4 linked regions of the Rhinolophus ferrumequinum genome follow. The protein of the gene in region 1 purifies or fractionates together with the protein of each later gene. This does not show direct contact. Links are inferred from orthologs where the notes say so. Each region holds a gene or a part of one and is shown in the gene's direction. Other genes may lie near its edges. The genes, in order: INAVA, CYTH2, CYTH1 and CYTH3.

The links.
Region 2: the proteins of INAVA (region 1) and CYTH2 purify together in Homo sapiens (co-immunoprecipitation; 3 studies listed by BioGRID and IntAct, counting the BioPlex papers as one, with this or other methods). This does not show direct contact. The link is inferred for Rhinolophus ferrumequinum from reciprocal best matches to the Homo sapiens genes INAVA and CYTH2.
Region 3: the proteins of INAVA (region 1) and CYTH1 purify together in Homo sapiens (co-immunoprecipitation; 3 studies listed by BioGRID and IntAct, counting the BioPlex papers as one, with this or other methods). This does not show direct contact. The link is inferred for Rhinolophus ferrumequinum from reciprocal best matches to the Homo sapiens genes INAVA and CYTH1.
Region 4: the proteins of INAVA (region 1) and CYTH3 purify together in Homo sapiens (co-immunoprecipitation; 3 studies listed by BioGRID and IntAct, counting the BioPlex papers as one, with this or other methods). This does not show direct contact. The link is inferred for Rhinolophus ferrumequinum from reciprocal best matches to the Homo sapiens genes INAVA and CYTH3.

Annotation. Positions count from the first base shown.
Region 1 is NC_046310.1:1,238,018-1,245,806, reverse strand, and holds the start of INAVA (innate immunity activator protein), read left to right. Parts: upstream 1-4,784; 5' UTR 4,785-4,992; intron 4,993-7,494; 5' UTR 7,495-7,588; coding exon 7,589-7,643; intron 7,644-7,789. UniProt on the Homo sapiens protein: Expressed in peripheral macrophages and intestinal myeloid-derived cells, is required for optimal PRR (pattern recognition receptor)-induced signaling, cytokine secretion, and bacterial clearance.
Region 2 is NC_046298.1:44,010,039-44,017,701, forward strand, and holds the start of CYTH2 (cytohesin-2), read left to right. Parts: upstream 1-4,653; 5' UTR 4,654-4,854; coding exon 4,855-4,873; intron 4,874-5,702; coding exon 5,703-5,850; intron 5,851-5,947; coding exon 5,948-6,014; intron 6,015-7,033; coding exon 7,034-7,152; intron 7,153-7,663. Other genes in the region: KCNJ14 (ATP-sensitive inward rectifier potassium channel 14), read left to right, coding at 571-1,128. UniProt on the Homo sapiens protein: Acts as a guanine-nucleotide exchange factor (GEF). Promotes guanine-nucleotide exchange on ARF1, ARF3 and ARF6. Activates ARF factors through replacement of GDP with GTP.
Region 3 is NC_046304.1:52,556,567-52,564,248, reverse strand, and holds the start of CYTH1 (cytohesin-1), read left to right. Parts: upstream 1-4,677; 5' UTR 4,678-4,843; coding exon 4,844-4,871; intron 4,872-7,682. UniProt on the Homo sapiens protein: Promotes guanine-nucleotide exchange on ARF1, ARF5 and ARF6. Promotes the activation of ARF factors through replacement of GDP with GTP.
Region 4 is NC_046307.1:41,044,496-41,051,584, reverse strand, and holds the start of CYTH3 (cytohesin-3), read left to right. Parts: upstream 1-4,087; 5' UTR 4,088-4,195; coding exon 4,196-4,232; intron 4,233-7,089. UniProt on the Homo sapiens protein: Promotes guanine-nucleotide exchange on ARF1 and ARF6. Promotes the activation of ARF factors through replacement of GDP with GTP. Plays a role in the epithelial polarization.

The DNA of each region.
Region 1 (7,789 bases):
TCATGGCGAATGTTGTGTCAGCTCGGCTGAGTCCATGGTACCCAGACAGTTGGTCAAACATTCTTCTAGATGTTTCTGTGAAGGTATATTTTAAATGACATTAACATTTAAAGGAACGGTAGACTGAGTGAAGCAGGTTCCATCCTGTAATGGGGGTGGGCCTCATCCAGTCAGCTGACCGTGAAAGAGGCTGATTGACCTCTTCTGATGAAGAGGAGCTTCTGCAGGCTGAGTGCCTTTGGGCCCCACTGCAGCTCTCCCCTAGGTCCCCAGCTGGTCAGCCTTCCCTGCAGGCTTTGGACTTGTCAGCTTTCTCAAATATACAGAGGGTGCCCCCAAAATGCATACACATTTTAAGAAAGGAAAAAATTGTATTAAAATTGTGATACTCCATATATACCGGTAACAAAAGATGAATACAAGTATACAGTTTTTGGCACTCCCAGTATATATTCTTTTCTTTTTTTCTGTTTCTTTGGAGAACCCTGAGTGATGCAACTATCTTCTCTTCAATTTCAGGATAAAAATCTTAAATCTTTAGCCAGCCCACATGGGTTGTCAGCCAGCTTAGCTCATTGTGCCTTCGTACAAATGAGAAAAAGCCACCACCTCTAGGCAGATTTAGCTCTGGCCCCGGTCCGGGCTTGGCACGTGGAGTGTGTGTGAGCCTTTTCTCTTTGCACAGTGCACAACCTGGACAACCCCAGGGGGCCGTGCTTGCCCACTAGCCTTGTCTCTCTCCCATCTTCCATTCCCTTCCCTCTTGCTTGTCCCACACCCGAATGTCCCCACAGCTCCTAGGACCTACTGAGCCCCTTTGTCTTTCAGCTTTTGTGCATCCTGACACTGCTGCCTTAGGTTCCTCACACCTTCCAAATTACCCTGGCACTGCCTCCTGCGGCCAGGCTTGGCGGTCCCTCTCTGCGCCTGGGGCCTGGGCCTGACCTCACGGACACTGCTGCGGCTTGATAACAGTCTAGGTGTGTGGTGGTGGCGGTGGTGGTGGTGGCGATGGAGGTGGTGATGGTGATGGTGGTGGTGATGGTGGTGATGGCGGTGGTGATGGTGGTAGTGATGGTGGTGGTGGTGATGGTGGTGGTGGTGGTGTCCTCCGGGGAAGGAACCTGCATTCCGACCATCAGCTCTGGGCACACTGTTGTTTTGAGCGAATGAGAACAGGGACGTGAAGTGAATGAATGAATGAATGAAGGGTGGAGCTCCTTGGCTTTTCCGTCCTGAGCTCGGCCAGCAGCACCGGAGGAGGAGGGCTGGGCTGGGGCGCAGGAGGGGAGGCAATGCCGGCTCCCAGGGCGCACGAGAGCTGGCAGGGGCGCGGCGCCCCCGCCGCCTCTCGCACCGCTGGGTCTCGGGAATGGAGCTGCCCCGCCATACCCGGCCGGAGCGCGCGGATGAAGGCGGCGCGCGAACGCAGAGGAGCCTCCTCCCGCCAGGGCCGCGGGAACCGGCCGCGCCGGGGGGGTCCAGCACGCGGGCGCCCGAAATCGGGCGGAGGGGAACGGCCTCGCCCCTAAAGCCGGTGCCCCCGCAGGCCACCCACCCACGATGGCACCTTCCCGCCCCGCACGCGGCCCCGCCCGACTCTGGGGTGGGAATCCTGAAGCCCCTCGTGCGGCTTCCCCCCTCCTCCGCGCCTTGGTACGCCCCGGGGGACAGATGTCTTGGGATCTTTAACATTTGGGATGCTGCAAATGCCGAAGTTAAATGGAATACCTCCGGGGAGGGCGGGCCGGGGGGAGGGACGGCGGCCTGGACACGCGGGTCCTGCGGCTGCGGGGTCGGACCCGGGCGCGCGGGCGCGGGCGCGCGGCGCCGCAGCTCCGAGGGACAGGTAAGAGGGAAACGGGGGCCGCGGCCGGGTGAGCGGGGGATCGGTCCCTGAACCCACGGTCCTCGGCCTTAGCGGAGGGGCCCCTACAAGGAATGGGGGAATTCGCCAAGAGGGTGGGAATTCTGAGTTCCTACCCCAAATGCCTATTTCCACCGCCTCCACCTTTCTCCTTGGACCCTCCCCGTGCTGTGGACCCCCCCGCCGGCCAGGTTCCGGGAAGCCAGAAAGCAGCCAAACAAAAGGAGCAAAGTCCCGGCCGCTTGGATGCGGAGGGCGCAGTGGGGGAGGGGAGAGGGTGGACCGCACAAAGGGGCTTTTAAGGAAAGCCAGAGGTCTGGTTTCAGGCCGCCTTCCGGGCCAGCTGGGGTTCCCCGTCCCAGCCACGCCATCACCGCTTGCTGGAGGCGAACACCTCTCCCAGTGGGGAGGGAGGAGAGTGGAGGAAGAACACGGTTGAAGAAGCACCTCCCACCCCCTTCGCCTGGAGGGTCCCCGGCCCACTCCCCTCTTGCTTTTTGCGCGGCTGGCCTAGCGCAGACCACTGATTGTTAATTCATTCGGTGGAATTCCAGGGCGCCTGAGACTGGACGTTGCGGGGTGCGGGTGGGGAAGTGGAGACGTAGGAGAGGCCCTGGCTTTAAAAGAACTTCCAATCACGGATCAGAAGGAACTTCACACAATATTGGGGAGTGGAGGGAGACGGGGTGTGGAAGACTTTTCTGATTCAGGACTTTTCCTTAGGAACTGACCACCCTAAAGAGAGGTGGTTTTTCTCCGATCACAGATCAGATTCTAAGTACTCTAATGTGACGCGAGGAAAATCCACGTCCTCCCCAGCTGGTGGTCTGCGGTTTGGGGCATCCATCAGCCCCCTGACCTAGACTGGCTGGTAGTGGGGACATGGAACCCCAAGTTCCCTGGAATGCCCATCTTCCCTTGGTGTTTTGAGTTGAATGGCGCGGCACAGCCAGATCCAGTGGGCCTGGGGTCTTGGAGAGTGGATTTGCCAGTCGCACTCCAAACCCCAGATTCTGCTGCATTGGGAAACACTGCCTGTGAATTTGAGGGAGCAAGGGGGCCTCTGATTGCAGAGGGGGGGTTCCCGGAAGGCGGGGTTCTTAACTGGGTCCTGGGCACCAAAGCATCTGGAGAGAATTCCGAGGGTTCATGAACTTCCATGGGGAAAACCCCACATCTTTCTTTTCTACCACCTTTAGCAGAGATTCAGCTTTGCCCTCGGTGACAAGGCGAGAAGCTCTGGGCAGCACCTGTGACTTTGCCATTAATAGAATTCGCAGTTTCATGTCACATTGCAGTCGTAGCTGCCTTGAAATATTGTCCACTCATCACTTCTGCGACATTCCCCACTGATAGATCCTGTGTAAATGTCAGTGAAGGTGCACATACATCACTGTTGTTTTTTTTTTGGTTTGTTTGTTTTGAGAACTGTGTTTCAATATAATTGGTTCTCAGTAATTCTCTTCATTTTATTTTATGCATCAAAACATATGCTGTGAGCTGATCCCAGAAATTCCCATCCTCCCCCACCTGGAGCTGGGGGATGGGCGAGGTAGAGGGAGGGTGTCAATTAGGTGCCTCGTTTGACGTTGGAAGAATGTGACAAACCTGTGGGGGGTGGGGGCGCCTGTTGTTTTTCCTAGATGGGGGGAGGGGAGGGCTGCAGGCTCTTGACCAAGAGCTGGCTCCTGTCCATCCAAGGGGCTGTCCCCTGGAGGGGCTGTCCCCTGGAGGGGCCCCTCAGCCTCAGCCTGGGGAGGGAAGGAGGTGGTCAGCCTGGAGGCCTCCATTGTTTGGAAAGAGGGTGTGTGCAGGAATGCGAAGGGGAGCTGGGTGTGTGTAGGGGGGTGCTGGGGAAGGGGAGGGAGCAAGGGGAGCTCGGTGGGTGACCCAGCTCTGCTCCACTGGAGGTCCTTGGTGGAGCTGACTTCTTCATCCCGACTCTGGGGGTGGGGGAGGGAAGCAGTGCGGGCCTAGGCTGTGCTGGGATCCCAGGGAGGGGGGTTGTGGCGGGAGGAACAGAGTGGGGGAAACGGAGGTGGTGGGGTAAAGTCTTGTGGGGGACAGTCCTTAATCCGCAGCCTTTCTGTTTTCCAGCTCGATGGGGACAGGCAACAGGTGGCCTGAGCCCTTTGCTTCCCCAGTAAAACAGGCTGAATTCCAACAGTGTTTGCTTGAGGGGCAATGAGGGGGTGGAGCTGGAAGCTTATTTTTTTGTGGGAAACAAGTTCCATTTTGGAGTTTGAGGAATGGGCTTAGAGCCTGGGGTGACAGTGGCCCTCCTGGGGAGGAGGGGACAGGACTGGGCTTCGGGTCCCCGTGGACCCTGCTGAAGGATGTCGATAATAACAGGGAAGTGATGGTCTTGATGGTCCTGGGGGGAGGCGTTGGGGATAAAAAGCAGCTGGGCCTGCTTCGGGGCCCCAGAGCCTCCCCACATGGAGTTCCGGGGTCACTGCCTTCCTGAGGCTTCTAAGCTGACTTGGGAGAGACAGAACTCAGGCTTGGTGTCCGTTTCTGTGTATGGGAAGAGCAAGGACCTGGCCTCGTCACTTTATAAGTTTCTTGCTGGTACCCGCCTCCCCCCTCTCACCCCCCACCCCATGGCTGTAGCCCTTCCATCTGCTTTGGGGGGGCTGTGTGCCCGGATTTCTGGAAAAGGAAACTGAGGTACAGGACAATGCCATCTGAGGGAGCCAGGGTCAGGGCAGGAGGGCACGGGAGCCCCCCACCTCAGCCCTTTGCACCAGTGCCCCAGAGGCCATGAAGACGGGACCCCTGTGAACGCCCGCGTTGCTCCCAGGGGGGCCCCTTCCCCCTGCTCCTCTGCTGCCCGGAAGTGCAGACGCCCTGTGGCAGCCACGCAGGTTTATTCAGGGAGGGACTAGCTCACCTGCTCCTCCCTCTGACTCAAGTCATAACAAGCAACCAGGTTCCCCGGGCCCAGCAGCCTGGGAGGGAGGCAGGCCAAGTGCTGGCAGACCAGTGTGTGCGGAGTGGGAGCAGGTCAGAGAGAGAGTGCCAGGAGCTCGCCCTGTGGCCTGGGAGACCCCAAGGGACATGCGACGCCCGTCGGCCCCCTGACCTGGGAACTGGGGCTGTTTCCCCGGACTCACGCACAGCAGGTGAGGGAAGGGCAGCTGGAGGAACAGGTCCTTGGGGCCGAGGGGCAGGCTGGCCCGGGAGTGGCTCAGGCGCTGGCCAGCACCACCTCCCCTTCCCGTCTAGGGCCCAGGGGCGCTGGGGTGCTGGTGGGACCGGATGCGGAGCCTGGCCTTGTAGTGGTGAGGCCTCAGTTTCCCCAGGAGGAGGGAGAAGCAGGGATGAGGACCCGGGCTGCGGGGCACATTAGTGATTGACAAGAGGAGCCCTGAGGGAGGGTGCACGGAGTTTCCATTCCCCCCTTCACTCCCCTTCTTCCTCCTCTGCCTTTTCCTGGGGACGTTGTTCAGTCAGGCGGACAGACTGCGTCTTAGGGCCCAGGACTGGATCTGAGGTCCTGGAGGGCAGAGGTTTTTCTGTGGGGAGGGAGTGGACATTCCCCAAACTGCCTTTGCCTAAAAGCAGGGCCTGAGACACCTTGGCTGGAGCCCCGTGCCCCCCTGGGTGAAGGTGGGCTCGGGACTGGTCCCCACTGGACCAGTCCCCACTGTGCGGAAGGTACCAGCAGGGCCAGAGGAGGGAATGGTGTGTCTGACAGGGTCCCAGAGGTCTGCGTTCAGGCCGGGGGCTGGACGGGCCTTAGCCACTGGCTCATATCCATTGTGCCTGTGGAGAAACGGGGCCCAGTCAGGTGGGGTGACTTGCCCAGATAACAGACTCCAATCTGGGGTTCCCGACTTCAAGGCCTGTGCTTGGAGCAGGAAGTGCGCCCCTGGTGGGCACTGCGCCAGATTGGGACCCCTGAGGGCAGTGCCTCCCCCCCCCCAGACCCAGCTGACTTGGGGGGAGGGGCTGGGGGAGAGGAGGCCGCTAAGGGGTGTCTGCTCAGCCCCCCATGTCAGTCCCTGAACTGGGGGCACAACTTCCCACGGAGATCCCTTCCGAAGTTAATAATTAATTAGCAAGTGTGGCTAGTTAATGGCTCCCCTCACACATTACCCCTGCCGTCCCAGGCCCCAGCTGGCTGAAACTGGCTTCCGCCCGGCTCTGGGGCTGGGCCTGGCCTGGCCTGGGGAGGGTCAGAGGCCGCGGGGTAGGAGGAGAGTGACTGCCGGCTCTCATCTCCTGGGAGGGACGGACAGACTGGCCAGGGTGACTCCCCTACGATGGTCCCAGAACATACGGCCAGTCTCTTAGACAGGTTTGCAAAGGCCACACATAAACTTTCTTGTTCAATCCTGCCACCCACTCTCGAGGCTTCATTGGAGCTGAACTGCCCAAGTGCAGGTTCCTGAGGTTCTCAGCTGTTTCTGCCTGTGCACGTTGACGGGCGGTGGTGTTTACGGAGGTCTGGAAAGCCGCTCGCTTGTTCTGCACTTGTTCTGCGCTTTCTGTCTCCAATGGCAGAGGTGCTTCTGGGGGGAGGGGGCTTCCTCTCTGTGTCTTGCTTTGTGTCTGCTCTCCCAAGGCCCGTGTTTCTCTCCTGCGCACCCCCATTGCTCCGTGGCCCCTGCCCTCCGGAGGCAGGATAAGCTCTAGACAGAAACTCTGCGAGGACTGGACTGTTGCTTAATGGGCTGACTCAGTGAGGAGGTGGCTGGGCTCCTTCCAGACGCCCGCCCGGCTCCGCCCGCCCTCCCCACCCCTGCAGCACTGCAACCACAGCTGCCCAGCCCAGCCAGCTGGGCCGACCAGGGGTGTGGGCTCATGAGAGGGGACACGCAGCAGGTGCTGTTTTGGTGATGCTGGTACTGTGCCGTGCCACCCCAGTGTCCCCAAGCCCCAGGAAGGCAGCTTCTGCTCTTGTCACCCTCCCTCCACCCCCAGCAACCCTGACACACCCCCCCGAGGCTCCTCTGTCTGTGGGTCCAAGGGGTCCAGGTTGATTAGGCCGACTCCCCCTCAAGGGATCTCCTGGTCATGGCTGGTGTCGTAGGAGTTGGTTCAGGCTTTGGGACAGCTAGCTGTCTGGCATCTGCCTTCGGATGAATATCCTGGTCCAGAGAGCCGGGCAGCTTGGGCTTTGGGGCACCAGCCCAGGGCCTTGGCTGAATGCCCAGAGACCAGCGACTCGGGCAGCAGGATGGGCCCGCCGGGTCCTCTGGCTGAGAACAGTGGCCCTATAGGGACTGGCATGCCTCCTGGGGACATTGTCCCCTTCCTGCTTTCCTTTCCCCCACCCTTTCTTCTTGTCCCCTTCCTTTTGTTCTTCTCATTATTGACCTTCTCCCCAGGGTCAGTAGTTCCTGGGGCCACCTCCACTCTTGAACCACTTGGGCCTACGTGTCTCTCTGGGTAGGAGGCAGTGGGGGGCTGTGGTGGGCCCAGCAAGCCCCCGGGGAGGAGGTATGGTGGTGGGGCCCACAGAGCCTTCTCTCTGCGCACCCCCATTGCTGAGAACCCCCATGTGTGCTCACCCAAGGGAGCACTGTCCTCACCTCCATGCCCTGTGCCCTCCAGCATGATTGCTAAGCTCTGTTTGGGACCAAGGGGGTTTACACGTAGCTTTTTCGGTCTCTTAAAAGTTGGGGAAATTCCAGGCCGCCCACACGTCGTGGCTCAGGCTGGGAACGGTGTCATCCCTCCCTGCGCTGTGCAGCCTCCTCCCAGAAGTCCACCATGGAGAGTAAGGATGAGGTCAGCGACAGCGACAGTGGCATAATCCTGCAGTCTGGTGAGTGGCTCAGGAAGGCCCGGCTCTCTGAGTCCCAGGTGCCCCCGGGCTGGCCAGGCTGAGATGCTGCAGGACTGGAGGGGGGTGGGAAGCTGGGCGAGGCCTCTGCTGGGGGCAAACATGGGGAGGGCCGGAGAGCTCTCCGT
Region 2 (7,663 bases), on another chromosome or scaffold:
GCTTGTAGTTCAGTTGCAGGTGGGTGGTGTGCGAGGAGCCCAGGGGCTAGCCTGAAGCAGTGGTGGAACACAGGATGTGGGACCTAGAGTGTCTTCTTGGTTTATCTTTCTCTGGCGACATATTGAAAGCCATTTTTCTCTCCCTCTTCTCCTTCTCCAATTGCTGGTCGGATGTCATTCTTCTGTTTCTTTAACTTCGTTTCTGCCTTGCTCATTTCTGTGGCTCTATGCCAATGTCACTGTCCCTCTCTTCCTCTCTCCCGTCTTTCTCTTCCTTGGGTTTTATCCCTAAACCCTCTCTGAGTCTCTGTCCATTTCTGTTTATCTCTGGGTCTCGGTCCCTCTCTCTCTCTCTCTCTCTCTCTCTGGGTCTCTGTCCCCTCCCCCATGTCCTCCTCTCTTTCTGGGTCACCATCTTGCACTTCCCCAATTCTTATACTCACCCTACCCTTACCCCTGCCGATCCCTGCTCTCCTCTTTCTCTGCATCGCTATTCGTTTCTGTTACCTTCTCCGTCTGCTTTCATCTCCATGCTTCCTGCTGTCTTTGGACCCATGCCTTCGGCTACAGCCTCGAGTGACCCCGGAGGGTGAGTACATACCACTGGACCACCAGGACGTGGATGTGGGCTTTGATGGTGGCACTGATCGTATCTTCCTTGTGTCTCCCATTACCATCGTGCATGAGATTGATTCCTCCAGTCCTCTGTATGAACTTGGATGTGCCGAGCTGGCCCGGGCTGACTTTGAACTAGTGGTCATTCTGGAGGGCATGGTTGAGGCCACAGCTATGACCACACAGTGTCGTTCTTCCTATCTCCCTGGTGAGCTGCTCTGGGGCCATCGTTTTGAACCAGTCCTCTTCCAGCGTGGCTCCCAGTATGAGGTCGATTATCGCCACTTCCATCGCACTTATGAGGTCCCAGGGACACCGGTCTGTAGTGCCAAGGAGCTGGATGAACAGGCAGAGCGGGATTCCCACAGCCCCAAGTCTAACTTCCCCGGCTCTCTGGCTGCATTTTGTTATGAGAATGAACTTGCTCTGAGCTGCTGCCAGGAGGAAGAGGAGGAAGAGGAGGCCACGGAGGGGGATGAGATGAAGACAGAAGATGTGGCTGCCAGCCCCTGAGTACTCACACCAACGCTGGCGCTGCCCCTGCCCCCGTGATGTCAGCTGGTGTCCCCCCATTTGTACCCCCTTCCCAGAGGCAGCAAGATGGAGAGATCAGGTCCTCTCCTGGGGTGGGGGCAGGTGTTCTCCAAGACGGACAGGTCTGCTGGGTAAATGATTAGCTGGTGAAGTTCTGCCATGCCTAATGGACCCACTCGATCTTAATTCATCTACATTTTGTGCTCCCTCCTGAGACCCTTTTATCAGCCTGATTCCTGAGTCTCACCAGAGCTAAGGGATCCAGAACTCGGGACCATCTGAGAGGGAAGGGCTGGTGGTTCCAGATTATTCTATATGGCTGGCTTGGGTTGTTGAACAGGGTCAGGAATCCATGGTATAGACCACCTCTGGAGGAGGAAGTCAGCACTTCTAGAGCAGCAACAGAGAAAAAGTTTATAGGTCTGGATCGACCTATAGATTCAAGGGACTGTTACTTCTAGACTCAGCCAACTAAGTAGCAAATCATTTTTTCTAGACCACCTGAGGAGGGAAAGTTATGGAATGCCCCAAGAATTCAAGACTGTCTTGATTGACCAAAGACAAGGAATGTCTTGACCAAAGTCAAGAAAAGACCTGTGGTTCCAGAAAACCCATATTTTGAGATTCTGTGAATCTAGATTTACAGAGAGAAGAACTACTCCAGAAACTAAAGAGTAATATTTCTAGAATGCACAAAACAATGGAGAGTGTGAGTCTAGAAGAACTAAAGTGACAGATTGGGAGTTCTTGATAGTAGATATTTCCAGACCACTAGCTGTAGAACATCGAAGCAAGGGCATAATCAATGCTTCTAAATGATCCACAGGGTTTTTCTTTTAAGTGCCATTCTAGAATGTCCAAAGGAACCAAGATTCTGTGGCTCGAGATTGATCACAGAGTCAAGGAAGGAGTGGCGATTCTAGATGTCTGAGATTTACTGATTCCAGTTTGCCCAATGAAGTTGAGAATCCTAATGATTCTAGATGACTTATTTGTGGTTCTGTAATGCCAAAATGAACCAAGGCTCCAGGGATCCAGAGTTGTCCATTAGCAAAACCTGGAAGTTCTGATCAGCTCTTAGTTCTAGGAGGTGGACTCAGGACTTGATAGGTAGAATTTCTGGGCTGACTTAGAAGGTGAGGGCCCAGGCAAGACCCTGTAGGTAACAGGGCTAGTTATTGGGCAAGAGAAGGGAGAGGCCCAAAGCTGGCGAGTCTACAATGCTCTGGATTCTACACCTAGTGATGTATGTCTGTGTCTTAAAGATGTTATACATATGTGTATTATATATATTATAAATACTGATATCTATTTTTTTCCAAAGGTTCCTAAAGAAGGGTTAGAAATGGAGCTTGAGCTAATTCGAATGGAGTCCTTTACAGGATTGGGAAGCTTTGCTCTAAATCCCAACTCTGCCCCAATGTACTGGGTGACTTAGGGCAAATCACTCCCCTCTCCTCACCTCAGTTTCCCCATCTATTAAAATGGGGCATTGAAACTTCTCCAAGGAACTTTGGGGCATTAAAATGGGGCATTGAAACTTCTCCAAGGAACTTTCAACCAGGATGATTCCTCAATTCACTGAGGGTTGGGTGGGGGTGCGGGTCATAGAGATTTCCCAGCTCTCCCTGGTGCTAGAACACATAGTTTTCCGTGGGCAAGTGGTATCAGAGATGCTCTTGGAGGCCAGCTCTGAACTTGGATTTCAGAATGACAGGGCAGGCAAAGGGTAGTGAGGACTGTGGTTGTGGGCTGGAACCACCTCTTCCCTGGTCCAGCTTCGGGGGGCAGTAGAAGGAGGAGGTAGCTCTGAATGCCAGGGGAAAGTATGTGTTTAAGGGAAGACTTGTCCCCCAGATTAAAACACTGGGAGCCTTCGTGGTATGTCTGTGACTGCTGCTGGGGCATGGGTCCTTGGGCCTGGTCCCTGCCCGTGCTGCTATCTATCTCAGTGTCCAGCAGACTGGGAGCTAGCCACAGAAGGAGCCAGTGCTAGGGAGAAGGACACGTTCCCACCCGTGTCCCAGGGCTGAGAACGGGCACTTGCACATCAGTCTGCCCAAGTGCTGCACCAACCGAGGTCCCCCTTCTGGCTCCCTCATCTCCCTTTATCCCTCAGAATTGTCACACAATAACTGGATGGGATTGATTATCTGGCTGCTCTCCCAGCTCACGGTGTCTATCTGGGGTAGGGACTGGGGACAATAGAAACACAGGGATGGAGAAGGATGTTACGTTGGAGATAAAGGGACAGGAAAAAGGTTCTGTTTGGAAGGAAAGAGAGTAGGGTCAGGGATGGCACAGCCTGGGTTTCCACTGGAAGGGCAGGGCCTGGGCCACTCATAAAGGTCAGTAAGGGGATTAGGAGGCGCTGTGTCTAATCTGTCAGTTTAACCAGGTCCTGGCCCTGAATTTGTCCCCACCTGCCTAGCCCAGAGGCAGCGAACGAGGACGAGGCCCAGACACCACCTCAGACCCAATTACGGACCTGGGTGCCCAGGTTCTCCATCCAGGCCAAGATCCTGCACCTGCTTTGCCTGCGAGAAATGAGAATGAGAGGCTGGGAGGACTCAAATGCGGGAGAATTCTGAGAGGAGAAAGGCATTTAAAAAGAGCAAGAATGTGAGAGAAGGGGGAACCTGAATGAGGCGAGTTGGAAAGGAGTGAATGGACTCTTAGAAGGGGGAAGGAATCAGAGGTGGGAGGGTGCTGAGGAAAGTTGTCAGAGGGGGAGGATGCTAAAATAAGGGGAGGAGTTTGGGGGAGAGGGAAGAGCCTGAGAGTCAGCAGGTGCCAGGAAGGCGGAGCCTCTGCTTTCACTATATTTGGCCTTTCCCTATTGTCCCATTCTCCTTGACAGATACCAAATAGCGTAGCATTTAGAAGAAAGAATACGTCTTTGTTCCACCACTCGTTGACTTTGAAGAGGCTGAGGTGGATGGGGTCATAGGAGGGGTTAAGAAAAGGGACTGGAGATCGGAGGGGCCAGTTCCCGGAGGAAGGAGGATAAAAGAAAGGTGAGCTAACCAAAGCTGCTCCCGGTTGCGTGGCAACCGCTGCGGTCAAAAGCCAGCTTGGACTTCTAGGAGGTGTGGCTCACGAAAACATCCGACAGCTGTGGCCCCGCCCCCTAGCAACAAGGCTAACAAAGTACCGCCCCCCCCCCCCCCGAAACACACAACTAGAGGCGGGGCTCGGTTGAACTATAATAGTGTCCTTGTGCCCACAGCCCTTGGGCAGGCGCAGTCCTCTGTGCTCCCGCATAGTCCCACCTCCATGCAAATCCTTTCCGAGGTTTCTCATTGGCGAGCAATCCAGCCAAGTGACTTCTTTTGTTTCGGAGGCGGGGCCCGACGCACTGGCTGCACTCCGATTGGCATCGCAGGCCGTCTACCTCCGACCGGACATGGCTACGTCTGCTCCTTGTGCCCTTATTGGCCCTGGAGGATGGCCCTTCGGTACCGGGGGCGGAGCAGACGAGAGGGCCTGCAGTGGATTGGACGGTGTCGAAACGAGGGGCGGTCCCTACAGGCGGGGCGGTTGGTAGGCGAAGAGAGAGTCTTTTCAGCGCTGAGGACTGGCGCTGAGGAGGCGGCGGTGGCTCCCGGGGCGTTTGAGCGGGCTCACTCGAGCCCGCGGGCCAACGCGGATCCAGGCCCGACCGGCGGGACCGCCCCGGACTCCCCGCGGGCCTTCCTAGCCGCCATGGAGGACGGTGTCTATGGTAGGTCGGGGAGGGGTGGAGCTGGCACGAGCAGATGGAGTCTTTCGTCCCGAACGTTCCGGTGCGAACGTTCCCTTTGGCGCTCACCTCGCGGAGCCGTTCGGCCCCATCGTTGCCGCCTTGCTTTTATGGGGCTTGGGATGGGCTTCCGGCGAGACCCTAGAGCGGGGCGTTCCAGGCCATTGTTTGGGCCGATCCTGTTTCCGGTGGCGGCGGGAGGGGACGGGATGGAGCAGCGGAGGCGAGGCCGAGGCGGAACCTTCCCCGCCGGAGGGGCCGGGCGAGCCCAGTGCCTGCTGGGAGCAGGCAGGGGGACTTCTGGGGGCGGCGGAGTAGGGAAGAAATCTTGGGGGCTGCAGAGATCCGGCTAAGACGGAGGCCTTTGATGTCCCGCCCCCTTTCCCAACTCTTACGAGCTGTCATCAGCTTTCCTTGCCATAGTTAACTTTTCATGGAACAGGAGTCCGGACATCCAGGTCCCAGCTACCTTGCCAGTAATGGAAGCAGAACACCAAGGCCTCAACCCCTTTCCAAGTAATGGAACCAGCAGTTCAGGCTGCTAGCCCAGTCTCCCCCAGACCTAAGAGTTCAAGCTCCAGCCCCCTTCTCCCTCAGACTCAGGAGCCCGGACCCCGGGTCCCCGCCTCCCCCAGGACTCAAGAGGCCACCAGCCCCTTCTTCCATTAGACATAGGATGCTGGACCCTCATTTTCATCATCCCCACGAACCTAGGAGTCCTGTTCCCCCTTCCCGCACCCCTGTCATCCCCCAGATTGCAGGAATCCAGGCTCACAGTCCACAGAACTGACCTCCAACTCCTGACCCCTAGAACCCCCAGACCTTACGCCGGAGGAGCGGATGGAGTTGGAGAACATCCGGCGACGGAAGCAGGAGCTGCTGGTGGAGATCCAGCGCCTGCGGGAGGAGCTCAGCGAAGCCATGAGTGAGGTGGAGGGTCTGGAGGCCAATGAGGGCAGGTGAGGGCTGGGTAGCGAATTTGGGGGTCATGGGGCCAGGCCGGGGCCAGGGATGCCCAGGTATTGACCCTCCATCCCCCTGCTCTCTGCCCTGCAGCAAGACCTTGCAGCGGAACCGGAAAATGGCCATGGGCAGGAAGAAGTTCAACATGGATCCCAAGAAGGTGCCTGGGGGCCACAGGGCTGGGATCCGCCTAGCAGATATCTTGACGGAGGTTCTGGCACCTCCATGTTCCACAAGTGTGATGGTTAAAGGCCTACTTTAGGTGTACAGATTTGGTCCTAATCTCTGGATTTAGAAACTGGCTCTCCACTTATTCTCTGAATACTAACCAAATATTTCAGCCTCCTGACCTTGGCCTGTGCTGTGTTCTCTGGGAGATCCTCTTTCCTCTTTTTGCTCATATTCCTGGACCCACTTCCGGTGTCACCTAGAGTCCCAGGACGAGCTTATGTCTGGTGGGGAACATGGACAGTGACATACACAAAGGCAGGTTGACCACTGCCGTGATATGGAGGTACAAGAGCTGTGGACACTCAGAGGAGGGAGCCCAATGCAGTCATGGAGGGCTTCCCAGAGAAGGGGACGTTCAGATCTGGTGTGAAGGACGAGTTGGTGTTCACCAGATGGAGGAAAGATGTTTGTTGATTCAGTCTTTCTCTTTATACCCAGTTCCTGAGGCCTCCCTTGGGCCTGCCCCTCTGCTAGGCAATGCTGGGAGCCCAGAGAAGAGTTTGACCCTGCCCTCAGGGAGCCCCTAGACGTGGATACCACAATTCAGTGGTGTCCATTATAGAGCTATAATGGATGCCCTCATGGCATCAGGAGAGCCAGAGAAGGCCCTAGTCCAGTCTGAGGCTTGGTCCTCACAGCCCTTGACAGACTGCTGCCCGAAGCAATTGTAGTTTGTTCAATCATTCAACCAATATCCACTGAGCTCCTGTCCCTTGCGGACCCTGCTCTGGGTGCTGGAATTAACTAGGAAAAGGCAGAGGGAACAGTAGGTGCAAAGGTTATGAGGTGGGAGGGATGTTATTTAAAGACCTGTGAGAAGCCTGAAAATGACACCTGGCCCTGCCCTGTTGAGCGTGGGGGTGGGTTTGCGTGCTGTAGTTTCCGGGGAGGTAGTGGAAAGTGGCTTTCTGAGCACATCAGCACTGAGACCCAGACCCCACCCTCCAGGGGATCCAGTTCTTGGTGGAGAATGAACTTCTGCAGAACACACCTGAGGAGATCGCCCGCTTCCTGTACAAGGGCGAAGGCCTGAACAAGACAGCCATCGGGGACTACCTGGGGGAGAGGTGAGATCCCCACCCACTCCCCTGGACCTCTCCCTACAGCCCCCTACACCCAGCTCCTGCCCTCACACTGCCAGCTCGTCTCCTGAGAGGCCCTGATAGACCAGCCTTCTGACTGGACTGTGACAGAATGGACTGACACAGGGACCTGGGGGAGACTGGGACCGTCCATGAGCATTTGGGGGGCATGGAGCATTTCTGTGGACATTTGGGAAGTGTGGAGACGATCCGTTTACGTCTGGGACAGTGGAGAGCATCCGTAAGTGTCATGGGAACATGAGAACCATGTAGACAACTGGTGTGCACGGGAATTGTATGGACAGCTGGGAAGTATGGGAACTGTCAGTGGATGTCTAGGAAGTATGGGGACCCCGCGGACATCTGGGAGCATAAGGGCCATCTCTGGACGTCTGGGATGTATGGGGACCATCTAGAAGTCTAGGGTGCATAAGATTGCACATTAGGAATATATGGGGACCATCAGTGGATGTTGGGGAATTCGGGGACAATCTGG
Region 3 (7,682 bases), on another chromosome or scaffold:
CACAGAACCACAGAAACAGGACCCAGTTTTGGGCAGCGGCTGGGGAACGTCTCAGGACGATGTTGGAAGCAGGCTCAGGCGAGGGGGTGAGGGTACAGTCCATGGATGGCCGTCCCGCAAACAGATCCACGGCGTTCTGACCATGGTGGCAGTTTTACGCCTTGGGGAGAGCTTGGCGATTAATCAGTAAGAGAAGTAAGCAAACAAAAAAGAAGACACTTAACACCTCTGTGGTCATTTTAATCACAGCGCATGGTATGGCTACGCTGTGAGCAATATTTACGAAACACTAACTCCTGATGTAACCAGAAATGTACATGTAGCTACACTGAGTGGCTGCGCGCACGTGCGTGTTGGGGGTAATGGCAGAACTGAAAACTCAAGAATGGATGGTGTGAGCCTGTTATTTAGAAATGCTGAAATAATTAGCAGAAGAAATAGCTGAAAGAGCTTCCTCTACGGAACAGGATTCGAGGGCGAGGGGTAGAGTTGGGCAGGAAACGGTGGTTTCTGTTTTAAGCCTTACGTAATGCTTGCTTTTATATGGTGTGTGCGTGTTGTTTTGCTTAAAGAAAAACACCAGGCACGAGTGGTGAGGAATGAGCCTGGAGAGACCGCAGGGTCAGGTTAAGGAAGGTCTTGAAACGGTGATGAGAAGCATAGACTCGGGCAGATGAAGGGGCCATTGAGTTCTTCAGGAGTGGCTTCCGGCATCGGGTGTTGTAGTGTGCCCTCCATCTCTGCCCGTGTCCCTCCTGCCCTCTGCTGGAGGCCGCCCTGGATGTGCTGTGTCCTCAGTCCCCTCCCTACCAGACTTCCCACCAGTGGCCTCTCCCTGCAGCCACCTCGTCCTGCAGGCCTGGCACTGATAAAGCTGCTCCCTCTCGCTGGCCCTGGGGGCTCCGTCACTCCTGTTGGTCTCCCCAAACTCTGCCCTCACGTTTACAGACAGACATGACTCCCGCTTTGAGTGCAGCTGTGTGTCCTTGGCATTATGACTGATGAGAAAAACCTTTCCCTAGAATATTGCATGAATATTCATGGAAGTGTTCTTGTGTCATTTCAAACCATTACTTGCTCGCATGCTCTCAGCTTATCCTCCACCAGAGGGGGTGAGGCTGGAGTAAAGGATCAAGGCTTATTTAAGGTGTTTCATTAATTGAAAATAAAAAGTGTCTTGGGTGAAAACCCCTGCATGCAAACGGCCTCGTGTGATTTTCAACATGAACAGCTATCGGGTGTGTTCTTCCGCTTTGTTGAGCTGTCTGGTGCTGATGACAAGGCCTGGGCCAGTCCCCTTGCCTCCTGCCTCGTGACTCCGCTGCTGCTCTGCAGCCTGGGGACCTGCTCTGCTTCTGTAGCTCTTGTTCCTTGTTCTTCAAAGTGCTTTGAACTTGGGCACAGCCCCCCTTTGGATAACTGCCCCACCGTCCTTCCCACCGGTGCTGTGCCCAGCAGGGGGTAGGTGATGCCAGGGCTGCCCCCCTTAATGCCTGTTGGCTGATGTCATTCTGAATAGTTTTCAATCTCAGAAATGTCCTCATATGGGTAAGTTACGCAGTCACTTTCCTGATGAGTGAGTCAAACATATAATTGGGTGCTTCAGTAGTTAAATTTCTATTTTAAGGAATTGAAGACGTTACTCGTTCATTACTTCCTTTTTAACAAACAGTGTTATGTGTTGTACTAACTGTGGAGCAACAGAAATCACACAGAAGACAGGGTGGAGTTGGCCCAGGAGTGCCCGCCGTGCTCCCAGTTTTAAGGCCTAAGTGGCAGCCTTTCTGCCAGCAGCTCATGGGTGCTGGCACTGAACCTGTCCTGCAGGCTGGCCTGGGGTCTGTGAGGTGCCCCCCTGTGCCCAAACTGGGATGATGGCCCTGTGAGCCATTTAGTCCCTCTTTTGAGAACGTGAACTGGGCGGCCTCGCAAGAATGCAGCGTGAGTAGTGGAGCAGAGCGGGAAGTCACACAGCCCGCAGCCCGGAGGAGAGAGCGGAGGGGCCGGGAGTGGCCTGAGTGATGGGGGCCGGCGGCTGCGTGAGCTGGGAGGCCCCGTCCTCCTCCTGTCCCGGCCTTCACACCCCATGTGTGGCAAGTCCTCGGTCCTGCCTTCGAAGTAGGCAGAGCGAGAGTTTGACCCCTTCCTGCGGAAGCCACCACCATCCCAGCCGGTCTCCCTGTGTCTGCCCTGTCTGTTCTTCCCCCGCAGCCGAAGTGGTATCTTTACAAAGGAAGTCAGGTCTTCCACTTCATTCCGAACCCTGGCAGCCGCTACCCGCCTCACCCCCAGTGGACACCAGAGTCCTTAAAATCGCCTCCAAGGCCCGGGCAGCCCTCCCCTCCTGTGTCTCGGCTCCAGCCACCCTGGCCGCCCCCACCCCCACGCGCGCAGCTCCACGTGGCGTTACTTCTTGTTTGTTTCCTGCCCTCACCCCCCAGCTCCCCGCCAGGGCAGGCCTACTTCTCTGATGTGTGTCCAGGACGCCGCACAGCACGCAGGTGTTGAGTGAAACGAATGAGGATGAGATTAGAGATTTGACTGCAACAGGAACTCTTCTCTAAGACAGAAGATAACCACAACTGATGCTAAAAGCAAGTGACAAGAGTGTGGGAGAAATATTTACAACATGTACGTTAGTGACCCACAAATCGGTAAGAAAAGATAACTGATCGGAAAATTGGCAAAGGACATGATCAAGCATTTCACAAAAGAGGAAATACCTCACGTTTAGGAAAATATATCAGCATCTCAGTCACAGATCGCTGCAAACTGAACAACTGTGAAGCCATTTTCACTCATAGACGGGCAGAAATGAGGGGTGTCCTTTGGGGGTCTCGGGGAGCCTTGGGCCGGATCTGGGAAAGCTCTGAGCACCGGGCCTCCCGGGCCAGCAGTTCTGCCCGAGGGCGTCTGTTCCGGAGAAACGCTCTTCCACTTGACAGTAAGTAGAAGATGGAAGGGACCTGTCTTCTTCAAATGGGGACCAGCAGCAGCGGAGATCAGCCCTGGTGCCGGCAGGGAAGCTTTAAGCTTTGGCTTGAAAAGGAGCAGAGCCGGGCAATCCCGGGGTTTACTGCAGATGGGGTGGGAGGGAGAAAGCGTAACTGCAACATGGACTTTCGGATTTATGTTAGTTGCCTCTACAAAACAGTGCTTTTTACAAATGTAGATGTACATATTTATTTATTATTAGACAAGAAGGAAAAGGGTGGCCAAGGTCCTGCCCTCGAGGCACCTGTGGCCACCTTCAGATGTGACTGGAGGCTGCGCTCTGGTGTGTCGCTGTGGATGGTGTTTCTGCCCCACTAGGACCCTGTCCAGGACGGCACGGTCACCCCCTACCCCCAGCCTGCTGCAGGAGTTTGCACCCCACCAGGGGGTGGGCCCTGCAGTCAGACGGGGTCAGTGCCAGGTTTGGGACTTTGGGCAAGCTGTGGGACGTCTGTACGTCTCAGTGTCCTCATCTGGGCACGGGCGCTGGAGATAGCACTTGCCTCATGAGGTGCTCTCAGGGTTAGAGGAGCCCGGCCTTGTCAGGCTGGTGCAAAGGGAGCACCCAGGAGTGTTGCCACACGACGATACCCCAGCTGCTGTCACCTGTACGTGTGACTGGCTGAGGTGCCGACCCCTCAGTCTCACCCACGAGCAGGTGGGAGGCTGTGTCTGGATCCCGCTGGGGACGTTGCTGAAGAGGTGGTGACAGGCACGTGCCAAGAAGTACCTGGGTGAGAGGTTGGCACAGAATCCGGCAGCCTCCGGGACGTCTCACAGTAGGGGGATGGCTACATATTCTGTCCATATCGTGAATAATAAAAGTACGATCGGTGTCCATTTTACAGTCATGGAAAATGTTTGTTACGAGTAAAAATAGCTGGTTAAGAGAGAGCATATAAAAGATCTAGTTCTTTCTGTCTATGTATATGTATATATATTTATGTGTATGTATACTTATCTATATGCTTATCTTGAAATAATATAAATATATCGCGAGAGAAATATATGTAATATGTATTATATAGGAGAGATACAGGAGGTACATATATAGATAGATACATGTGTGTGTAGAACATAGAACAAAAGTCTGGAAGAATATAAAGAATATATACCAAAATGTCATCAGTGGGTGTCCCTGGTGATAGGATTAAGGTTTTTGGTTTTGCTTTCCTCATTACTGTTATCTAATTTCAACAACAAACGTATCGTGAATGTAATGAGTGTGCAGAGAAGAACAGCTTGGTGGGGCCCGGGAGAAAATAGAATGGTGGTAAAATTGAACTTCTTCGGAGAGTGTTGCTCTTGGATTTTTTGTTTTTGTCTCTCAAGTCTGCCTTCTGCTTTCAGCCTGTGACCTCATAACATACCGTCTGATTACGATCTTAGTCTTTCCCTTGGGAAATGTTATCTTATTGTGCGAGGCCCAGGGGTTTTCAGTGATTGTGTGCTAAGAAAGCACTTGGGAAAGGAAGAGGGGAACCCATGGCTTTGGTTGAATCTGAGGAAAGAGCAGCAGGGCAGCTCTTAGACTCCTTGGCGTCCAGCCCAAGACTGCTGGTAGGGAGGACGAGGGAGGAGACGGCAAGGAGGAAGCCGCTTGGGCTTCACCTCAGGAACTGGGCGGTGGCAGTGGACGGGTGACGCTGCTTCTGCGGCTGGAGGCTGATTGGCCCAGGAGGGCAGCCGGCCAGCCCCGGGGTTCAGGAAGCAGCTCTGAGCTGTCCTGGCGGGGCAGCCCTCAGGTATTCCTGGCCTGCCCAGCCCTACCTCCCAGGAAAACTTGGCGGAGTTCTCCTTTGAAGAGCAAAACCGAGCCACCTTTGGGGTTCTGCTGTGACGGAGAAAGATGGTCCTTAAAACCGAGGAGGAGAGCGGTGAGTCCGGTCTCGCCGTGGGTGTGTGGAGTGGGGTTTAAGTATCTCTGTTGATCAGTGTGTGAAGTCCTGTGACGACAGTTCCACTGCCCTCTGGGACAAGTGGCAACCCAGACTCTGCTTTGTGTCTTCCTGTTTTCCGGAGGAAGGTGGAGGGCGATTTAGTGTTCAGAGGCTCAGGAGTGTGTGTGTGTGTGTGTGTGTGTGTGTGTGAGAGAGAGAGAGAGAGAGAGAGACAGAGACACACACACTTGGTGTGTTTTTAAGCCAAAGAATCTCCGCCCCCATCTTTGCCCTGGGTGCTGCTTGGCTGAGGGCAGGGAGCGGGCGCTCTGGCTTGGTGCTCCAGCCTATGCTTCCTGCATCTGAGTAAGTTGGTCAGAAGCTCTGGGAGTTGCATGTATGTCCACAGTGAGCGTCACACTAAAAAGAAAAGATGTTAGAGACCTGGTGGAAAGCACACCAGAGAGCTTCAGGGTAAATAGTATCTGCTTGTGTTAGATACAGTGTAACGAAGGGAGCCTGCAGATAGCTCCCATCTTCCTCTTTTGAACTTCCTTCATCTCCTCCACACCCACACTGTAGACAGTGACGCTATGAGTAAAAGGATGACAAATTTTGTGGCTTATGAATCCCAAAAGAGTCTTCAGGAGTGTCTCAAAGCACAGGTCAGGGCTTTACAACGTTCTGGAGTCACAGGTTTGTGTGTGGACGTGTGGATTTTATGTGATGCCTTCACCCCATGGCAGTGTTTTAATGGCACAAGACACAACGGCAAAATGGCTACTGGTTTGTACCTGGTAGGGGATGACATGAGTACGTTTGAAGTAAATACTAGGCTGTGTTTCAAAGTGGATTTTGTAAAAGTTGTAATAAAGTTTGGGAGTCCTTTTATGCTTTTCCTTCCCCGGTTCACTATGAAACACCTTCTAAAGTTTTACCTCTAGTCATGCAGATGACCGTGGGCCGTGTGTGTGGGTTGCTTTGGAAAGCTGTACCGTGCGTGAAAGGCTTTAGGAGAGAGGGACATAAATCGGTGTTTATAATGACAGTTCTGCATTTGAAGAGGGACAGTAAGGAGAGGCAGATCTAGGTCAGGCTGAGCTGCCCGTGGGGGAGGTGTTGTATCCGAAAGGCCAGTCTACGGTAGACTCGAGTTCGAAGGTCTCTAGTTCAAAAGCGGGTACTTTTGAGAGTGAAAAAGGACATTAGGTGTGACCCACTGGCCTGGGCAGATGCTGACTGCTGGTGACCGTGTCCTCTAGACAAGCCTGGCTGTAGACCCACGGAGGGGGCGTTGTTTAACGAACGATGTCATCAGCCTCTAACCGTCCGAGAGCTTTAAAATTCCACACTAGCCATTCAGCGTGTGGCACTTGTTTCAGTGGTGGGGGTGTGAGACACCATTTTAGGGCAGGGACTTCAGACACCAGAGTTTAGGGTTAGATCAATGGGCACCTTTGCTTTGAAGAAGGGGCCTCCAGAAATGAGCGCTTCTCTCCGTTCCTCTAGCCCTCCCCCCCGGGACCTTAGGGGGGCACGTTACCTTTTTAACCACCGCTAAAGCCGCTGCCCCATGGTGTTGAGATGAGATGCAGAAACAGCGTCGGGCACGTGTGCAATGAAGGGAGCTGTGGACTTTCCTTGGGCAGCTCCCCGAGGTCCCAGGAGAGGGAGAGAAGGGAGAGTTAGGTGTCAGCCTTACGCGCACGAGAGCTGCTTTTCCTAGATGTTTAACCCAAAGAGCATGCCCAGTAAAGGGAAGTGGGGGGTTCTGAAGATTTCTTTAAAGAAGTCAGGTCCTCTCCTGATGCACCAAGTCAGAGCCCCAGCCCTTAAGTGACAGTTAGTGCTTTCTGCCTCTGTCCTTACTGGCGCTTTCGCTCATCAGTTTCGGTTGCCGTCTTTCGCAGGTATGTTAGGTGGGCATGGACCAGGGGACTGAATCAGGCACAGCTGTCGTCACTGCCGGAGGTGCGCTTTTAGCTGTTGAATCTTATCTTCGGGATGCTTAGTTCCCCTTGATTTGCCTTTCAACCTCCTCTGTGGGGTGGAGTCCAAGCCCCTCGCTGTGTGGGACACGAGGCCTCACAGTACTCTCTGGGCTCTTCTGAGTGCTGTCCCCGTCCCCACGTGTCCTGGGCCCTGACCTGACCCAGGCACCCAGCCACGCCTGGCCTCCCTGTCTCGTGTGACATGTGGGTCCACACTGGTCTGTGCTGCTCTGTTTGGACAATCCATTCGTCCTCAAGTCCTGTCCCAGAGGCCCGGCCCCTCGGAAGCCTCTCGGCGTCTGTCCCCAGGTGTCCCTGAGTACTGGGCGTGCGCGGCTGCGGTGGCAGTGTGTGGTGCCCAACGGGCTCACGTGCATCCTCCACTGGCATTCACGTTCCACTCAGGGAGGGGCTGGAGCTATTTAAATCCCAGCGCCACGCACAGGCTGGGCCTGTGCACATGCTCAGTAAATGCTGAGCTGACGGGAGCCTGCTTGTAACAGTGAGAGGAAATAAAGAGCCGAGGCCTCAGCCGGGGATCCTGACTTAGTACTAAGCTCCGTTAGCGGCTGACCCGGTAGGTGCTTCGTACTCCGTGAGTCTTCTCTGGAAACGGGAGGTTACACGGCGCATAGTTTATTGTCAGGAAATAGGCATAGTTCATAGTTGGACTTTGTTGTCACATTCAAATAAAAATGGAAATGATAACACATTTTAAGCTATAAGTCACCATGTGAGTATAAAGTATCATTTATAGGAAAAATCTCCAAACAGAAGTAAGTATAGTGCCTCTGCACGAGGGTGTTGATTTTCGGTT
Region 4 (7,089 bases), on another chromosome or scaffold:
GTGACTCTAAGAAGCCAGTTTTTTAGAAGCCTGGTGAGGTATGAAGTTTGGGATAATTCGTAAGCAGATGGTACAAAGCATGGCAAGGTACGTTCCAGAAGACAAACCTGGGAAAAAAGACAGCAGCTAGAAGGTGGCAGGGAAAGTGGGAGCCCTTACTGAGATTCAGCTTTGCCTCATGGATTCCGTCTGGCTTGACAATGAGGGATTGGAGAAACTGTGCATTTCTATGCGTAACAGTGATGAGCATTGATTGACTGAGCGCTTACCGTGTGCCATGCTCTGTTTGCGTATGGTAACGTCTAGTTCTAGTTCTCAGAGCAACTGAGTTGTTGTAGGTTCCATTTCAGGTACAGAAACGAGGGCACAGAGTGGTGAGGTAACTTTCCCAAGGTCACACAGTCAAGACAAGGAAGTGCCTGGGCTGTCTGACTTGACAGCCTGCATTATCCAGTTACCAGAGGTGACACGCGATGATGTAACCTAGTGACTTTCCTGGGCATTATGTGGCCTCTTTTCAAAGGCAACGAATGACCTGAACTCATGGCTGGCTTTCGCTGTCCTACAAGTCAAATTGCAGCATCACATTTGCTCGGACACACAGCGCTCTGCGACGGGTGTTGTGCGGTCGCTTGGTTGCTGGCTGGGAGCACACTTTCTATTTAGAGAACCATGATCACAGACAGATGTTCTGTGTCCTTATGTTTGTCATTTTCACCCTTTTTCTTTCTTTCACCCGAATTGCCTGTCCTATGGTACGTTCTGCACCCCAAGATGGATTTTCCTGATGACTTTAAGCGGCACACTGCAGACTCAGGCCAACTTCTGAAGGGGATGTTTTTAAATGAAAAAAAAACAAGTTTTTTTTTTTTAGGTCAGGGAACATGCTATAAAAATGAAGAACTAGATAAAAACAACACAGCTTTTTATTACAATAGAAGACGCCGTGTGTATAATAACTCTTAATGTTGATGCTGCCTCGAGTGGGTATAATGTTTTTCTCCCGAAGGCAAATAGCTCGAAATGGTGGCTAACTTATTTTTTCCAAGTTTACCACAAATAAGAAATTTGACCATGTTTGTTCTTGCAAAAATGCAAGTTACTAATCAATCTAAAAGGCAGGAAGCTGCCCTTGGTAACGTGAGGCCCGAGAACTGTTGTCGATCGTGTGGCTTCCAGGCTGGAGAACAAGGCCAAGGCTCACTGCATGGACGTATTGGAAAGGGAACGGCAACGCTGGGAAGGACGTGATGCCTGGGCTTTTGAAAATTTAATGAGGATGTGACTTGACACTCGGACCCCTGTCGTTTGCTTGGGCAGAGTGGAGAACGCTGATCTGTACAAGATCACCTCTATACCAATGAGATGTTTTCTGTCCTAGATGAAATGAGATTTCAGAAAACATTGCCTTCCTTTTTAGGACTGTGAGCTGGCTGCTGTGTATGCCTTCCCTGGACTAGACCAGACCCCCAAGCAGATGTAACGGATTAGTCGAGGTTCCCATCTGTTAACGGTCACTGCTATCTCTGCATTTCTTGACCGCTGTCAGAGGGGATGGGAACTGCCCTGCGCAGGGTCTGGAAGCAGCCGGAGCTCAGGCAGCCTCGGCAGCCTCTTCCTGGCTGAGCTTGAAGAAACCAGTTTTGGCAGGTTTTGGCTGTTGTGTCGTTAGTGCTGGGAGAGGACACGTCTGTCTGATTTCACACTTTCACTTGGAGAATGGAGATGAGGGTAAAAAGGAGAAATCCTCTGACCTTTCCAGTATGTGCACATTCTTGATTTTTTAAAACTATTTCTGCAATGGTCAAAGGGCTGATAAATGAGTTTTAACATGTTTTTAAGATGTCTCCTGCCCTATTCATCCAGCAGTAGTAACAAATAAATACAGTAGCTTTCTCCCCTTTTATGACACCGCTAAGCCCTGCAGTGGATCCTGGAGACAGAATAAATACAGACTACAGTCTGGGTCTGAAGGAGTTTCAGGTGGCAAAGCCACTACAAGGAAACAGCAAATACTGTGAGAAAGGCTATAAATAGGGTTGGGCTCAAAATTTCCATTAAATAATTGTTTGTGTAATTATCTACTTAATGGCTGTATTCCTTCTAGGGCGTACGTCCCTTAAGGAGAGGGACTGACTCTATCTTTTTCATCATCATATTCCCAGCTCCTGGGATAGTGCTTGGTCTACATGTTTATTGTCTGACTGAATGATGGTAACAAGGTTTTGGATTTAACACTTGTTGTCTCGGGGTGATGTCTGCTGCATGAATCGTTTTCCTTACATTCAGTGATAAAGCTTTCAACATCTGAGTCGCCCACACATAAGCTGGACATAAAGTGAGTGCCTATCTTAGCGGATAACTAGGATTCTTAATGTTCCTATATGTAGGGGCAACCTGCCTGTGGGCAGATTAGATAACTATGCTGGTGGGATTTAAGAGATACAGCAAAACCGCTCTTTTTTTAAAGAAATCTAATTTTTCCATTAGATATGAATTCCTTTGAGTAGTGAAAGTTTTGAAATCTTCCAATTTCCCCATTCAAGTGCAGAAATGACACCCAAAGCCCGTATTCTCCCAACAGTTTTGCAGGCTTTGTCGAAAAGAATAAGCTGTGAGGATAACATAATATTCTGCTTACAAATAACTGGGCAACTGGGCTATGCTTTATTCTGATGGAAATTAGCTTAGATGGAGATCAGAGAAGCAATTTTCAGATTTAAACTTTGAGAGAAGCTCCTATGGATCACACTCTACGAAAACTAAAGAATTAGGAATTGACATCTAAAAGCATTTATAATTGATAATATCTTTGAGTTCAAAGCTCCACATACCACATTATCAAGTTCCAAGTATGTTGTCATTTTTCCTGGTAACTGATGTTATCTCCAAGATAACCAAGCGGACGGGAACAGGATCAGGAAGCCAAGTCTTAAATCTACATTCCATGATGCCCAGACCCCTTTTCAGTTGCATATTTGTCACATAAGCTGCCAAACATTTTATTTGCACCCAGAAGTGTGCTCGGTGGCTTGAGAAGTACCCGAATGCTGGGTGTTTAATTCTTGAGATTACTAGGAGATTGAATTCTTTGGAATCATCTCACAACCTTGAACAAAAAGGTGAAAATTGTCCATTTTGATAAATGACAGAACAGGTTCCTTCCCCTCAATGGGCCATTTGTAAATATAAAACAGTTGCTGGAAAATTATATTAGAGATGAATTATCTCCTCCATTACAATGTTTCCTTTTCTTTAATGCAATTTAGTTGAAGCAAAATGAACAGAAAGGCTCGGGAGGGGCCACATTCGATGCTTTGGGAGGAGTTACTGGAAGCAAGATGGGGAGAGAGAAAGGTGATTCATAGAAGATCTGGAGCAGGAGCAAGTGGAGGCCTTCTGCCCAAGAGGCGTGCGCTGAGGACCCTGGCTGTGCCCACAGGAAATTGAATTCAGAGCTCCTTCTGCATCATAATCCAGGGCAGCTGGCGGCTTCCCAAGGGAGACTGGAGCGAAACTGCAAGGGCATCTGAGGCCACACTGGCCAATCTCTGCAGAGCCCGCTGAGGGTGGGGCCCCAAGTGTGCCGGATTGGGACCTCATGATGACGTCCATTTACAAGCCTTACACTTTGTTAATTTTAAAGTGCACTCATCGCTAGGAAAGGAGCGCCTCCATTATACACCAGAAAGCTGAAGGGTTGGAATTACTCTGTAATCTCTCAGGGCCGAAGAGGGAAGGCCTGACTTTGGAAGACGTGCGCGTCTTGATCTTTTTTTCTGAGTGCACGTGCGAGGAGGATCCCTCGCCGCTGAGTTTTGTGGGGTGGACATTCCCGTGTTCCGACCCCACAGCCGTCCCCAAGCTGCTCAGAAGCGGGGGCCGGGCAGGTGTCCACGCTCGGCTGGCCGGGGAGGGTCGGCGGTCTCAGCCTGGCGGGGTAGGCTCCGCCGGGTCAGGGCGGGGCCTGAGCGCGCGGCCCCGCCCACCGCGGTCCGGGGCGGGGCCTGAGCGTCACGTGACGGCGGCGCCGAGCGCGAGCGCCCCGCCCGGCCGGAGGAGGCCCGGGCGGCGACCCGGCCCGCGCGCTGCCGGAGCCGTCCGACCGCCCGCGCGCTCGGCACTCGCGGCGCCCTCCGCCCGCGGCCCCTCGCCCGCGGGTCTCGGGCTCGCCGGCAGCGGGAGCGGCCTCAAGATGGACGAAGACGGCGGCGGCGGCGAGGGCGGCGGCGGTGAGTGTGGGAGGTGTGGCCGGCCGGGCTGGCGGCCTGGGGCGGAGGAGGGCGGTCGGGGTCTGGGGTCGGGGTCCGCCTGAGGAGACCGGGTCCGCGCAGCGCTGGTGCCCGCTGACGACCGCCGAGGCCCGCAGCGTGCAGGGCCCGGAGACCGAGGCGGGGGTCCGGGCGCCGTGGGGAGGAGGCGGGCGGCGCTGCCGCCGAGCCCGAGCGAGGGTCCGGGGCGAGGCCGGCGGCCCGTCGGCTGGGGCCGCTCGGGGCCTGGAGCCGGGGCTCGGGGTCCCTCTCCTGGGGCGGGGCACCTCGGGGGCGACCTGCCCCGCCTCCTGTCGCCGCGGGCGGCTGTGCCCTCCGGAGCCCGACCGCAGGGGGACGAGCCTCGCAGCGTCTTTTCTCGGGTGGTGGGAAGTGAGCGAACCCCCGGGAACCAGGGAGGGGAAAGTTTTGAATCGGGGATCCTCGGGGTCCGAGAGAGGCGGGTGGGGGAAGCGGGCGGAGAGGCGTGACAGTTTTGCTGGCGTGAGGTCAGAAGCGGTCAGCGAGGTCCTTGGGCGAGGAGGGCCAGCCAGCGCGCCCGTTCCGTGAACTAGGACACGTTCCCGACTCAGCAGAAAATAAGCCTCGCTCGGAGAGGACACCCGAGACCCAGCTGTCGGCCCGACGCTCCGGTCCCTGTCGCCGGGAGACTCGCACTGGCGGTCAGTTACTTAGTGGGATGCACAGTGCTTTTGTGTCACGCCGCGAATTCTGACTTTCAAACAGAATAACGTGTCTGTGTGTATGGAGTGGGTCGTGTGTGGAAAGCAAAGGGTTAACACCCCTAGTTTTACTGCAACACCCGAAGTGGAGGTTCTCCCTACTTTGACGACCTCCTTTCTGCTGACGGACCGAGTCATCCCCACCCCTGGTAATAAGGGAGCGTTCTGAAAAAAAATCTTAATTACAGGCTGCGGGAGCCGCTGCCGCATTCTGCACGCTCCGGATCAAGTCCTCGGTGAATCAAGGTGCCTCGTAGCATTTAAGTGCTGCTCACGGGGAGTGTTTGTGCCCCAAGAAGCGACGCGGCTGTGATGGTGGGAAGTTGGCAGCAGGGGTGGCATTTGGCGACTTCAGTTCTCATAGTGAAAGGGAGGGGTCGCCCTGTGGCTCGAGTGGGTGTGGTGTTTGTGAAAGAAAGTGCTGTGGAAAGAAGGAGCCCAGTTGCAAACCCTCCCACAAGCCAGGCTGGCTGTCTGGAGACGAAGTCCTGGACTCTAAATGCCTTGCTTCCTGCGTCTCCCAATTTGGGTACCAACAGGCAGAGCAGTTTTTCCTTTTTAGAAAATAAAGACACAGACCTGTAATAGTTAAGCGTTTGCCATTTACAGTCAAGGTAGCCAGCTGGTTTGGCGATTTTGTCTGGAAGGTGTTTCTGAGTTAAGGACTATAGAAAGCTTGAAGGTAAAAGTAGGTTTAAAGATTAAGAAAAGGAAGCCAGTGTGCCTCAGCAGTTTATAGGTCTTGAGGACTATAACAAAGGATGGTATTAAGTATCAAAGTCTTTAGACTTTCTTTGGGCTCTTAATATCTCCTCTGGGAATACAGCCTTCAAGTTCAAAAAAAAATATATCATGCGTGAAGATGTGCATTACCCTGTAATAGTAGAAAATTGGAAACAGCAGTGCTTAGTAGGAGATTGGTGAGGTAAATTATGGGAAGCTTATTGGACGAATTGTTTTATGACCATTACAAATAAGCAGTTTTGGGCCGGCCCGGTGGCTCAGGTGGTTGGAGCTCCATGCTCCTAACTCCAAAGGCTGCTGGTTCGAGTCCCACATGGGCCAGTGGGCTCTCAGCCACAAGGTTGCCAGTTCAATTCCTCGAGTCCTGCAAGGGATGGTGGGCTGTGCCCCCTGCAACTTGCAACGGCAACTGGACCTGGAGCTGAGCTGTGCCCTCCACAACTAAGACTGAAAGGACAACAACTTGAAGCTGAATGGCACCCTCCACAACTAAGATTGAAAGGACAACAACTTGACTTGAAAAACAGGCCTGGAAGTACACACTGTTCCCCAATAAAGTCCTGTTCCCCTTCCCCAATAAAATCTTTAAAAAAAAAATAAGCAGTTGTATACATCATGGTCTAAACAATGAAAAAACTGGTGATACCATGTTTCCCCGAAAATAAGACCTAACCAGAAAATAAGCCCCAGCATGATTTTTTCAGGATGACAGCCCCTGAACATAAGCAAGAATATAAGACCCGGTCTTATTTTCGGGGAAACATGATACTGTGGATGTTTTATTTTCTTAGTTTTTATATTTTCCAAGTTTCTGGAATGAGGTGTATTACTTCCACTTTTGAACAAAAAAAGTATTAAAATTTTACTCTGCAGTAGGAAAGGAGAATGATTGTTGTAATGTATGATTTAATTCACTTCACTGGAACAGTCAATGATGACGGATGTTGATCGATTGTCTGTCTACTACGACCCCAGGCAGCATGCTAGGTGCTGGAAAACGGTGTCAAACCTTTACTGATATGGTTTATTAAGATCTTTCTTTCTTGCATTATGGAAGACACTTAAAAATATGTTTGGCAATCTTAGAATGAGTATATTTTTGAAACAGTGAAAATCTTAAAACTTTGAAATAAGAATCATTATTCATTGATTATTGTATAAATTTGGTGTGCTTATATTTGGAGATTTTGAAGTTAACTTACCTCTTTACAGTTCTTTAGTTATTACTACTATTTATATTTCTAAACAATGCTTTGCTTTAAAATTCACGTTTTTAAAAATAAAGTTCGGCCCTTGGGAAGAGAATAATTTCAGTTGCCAGTCATTTGTCAGCCAATTGTAAAACATAATTT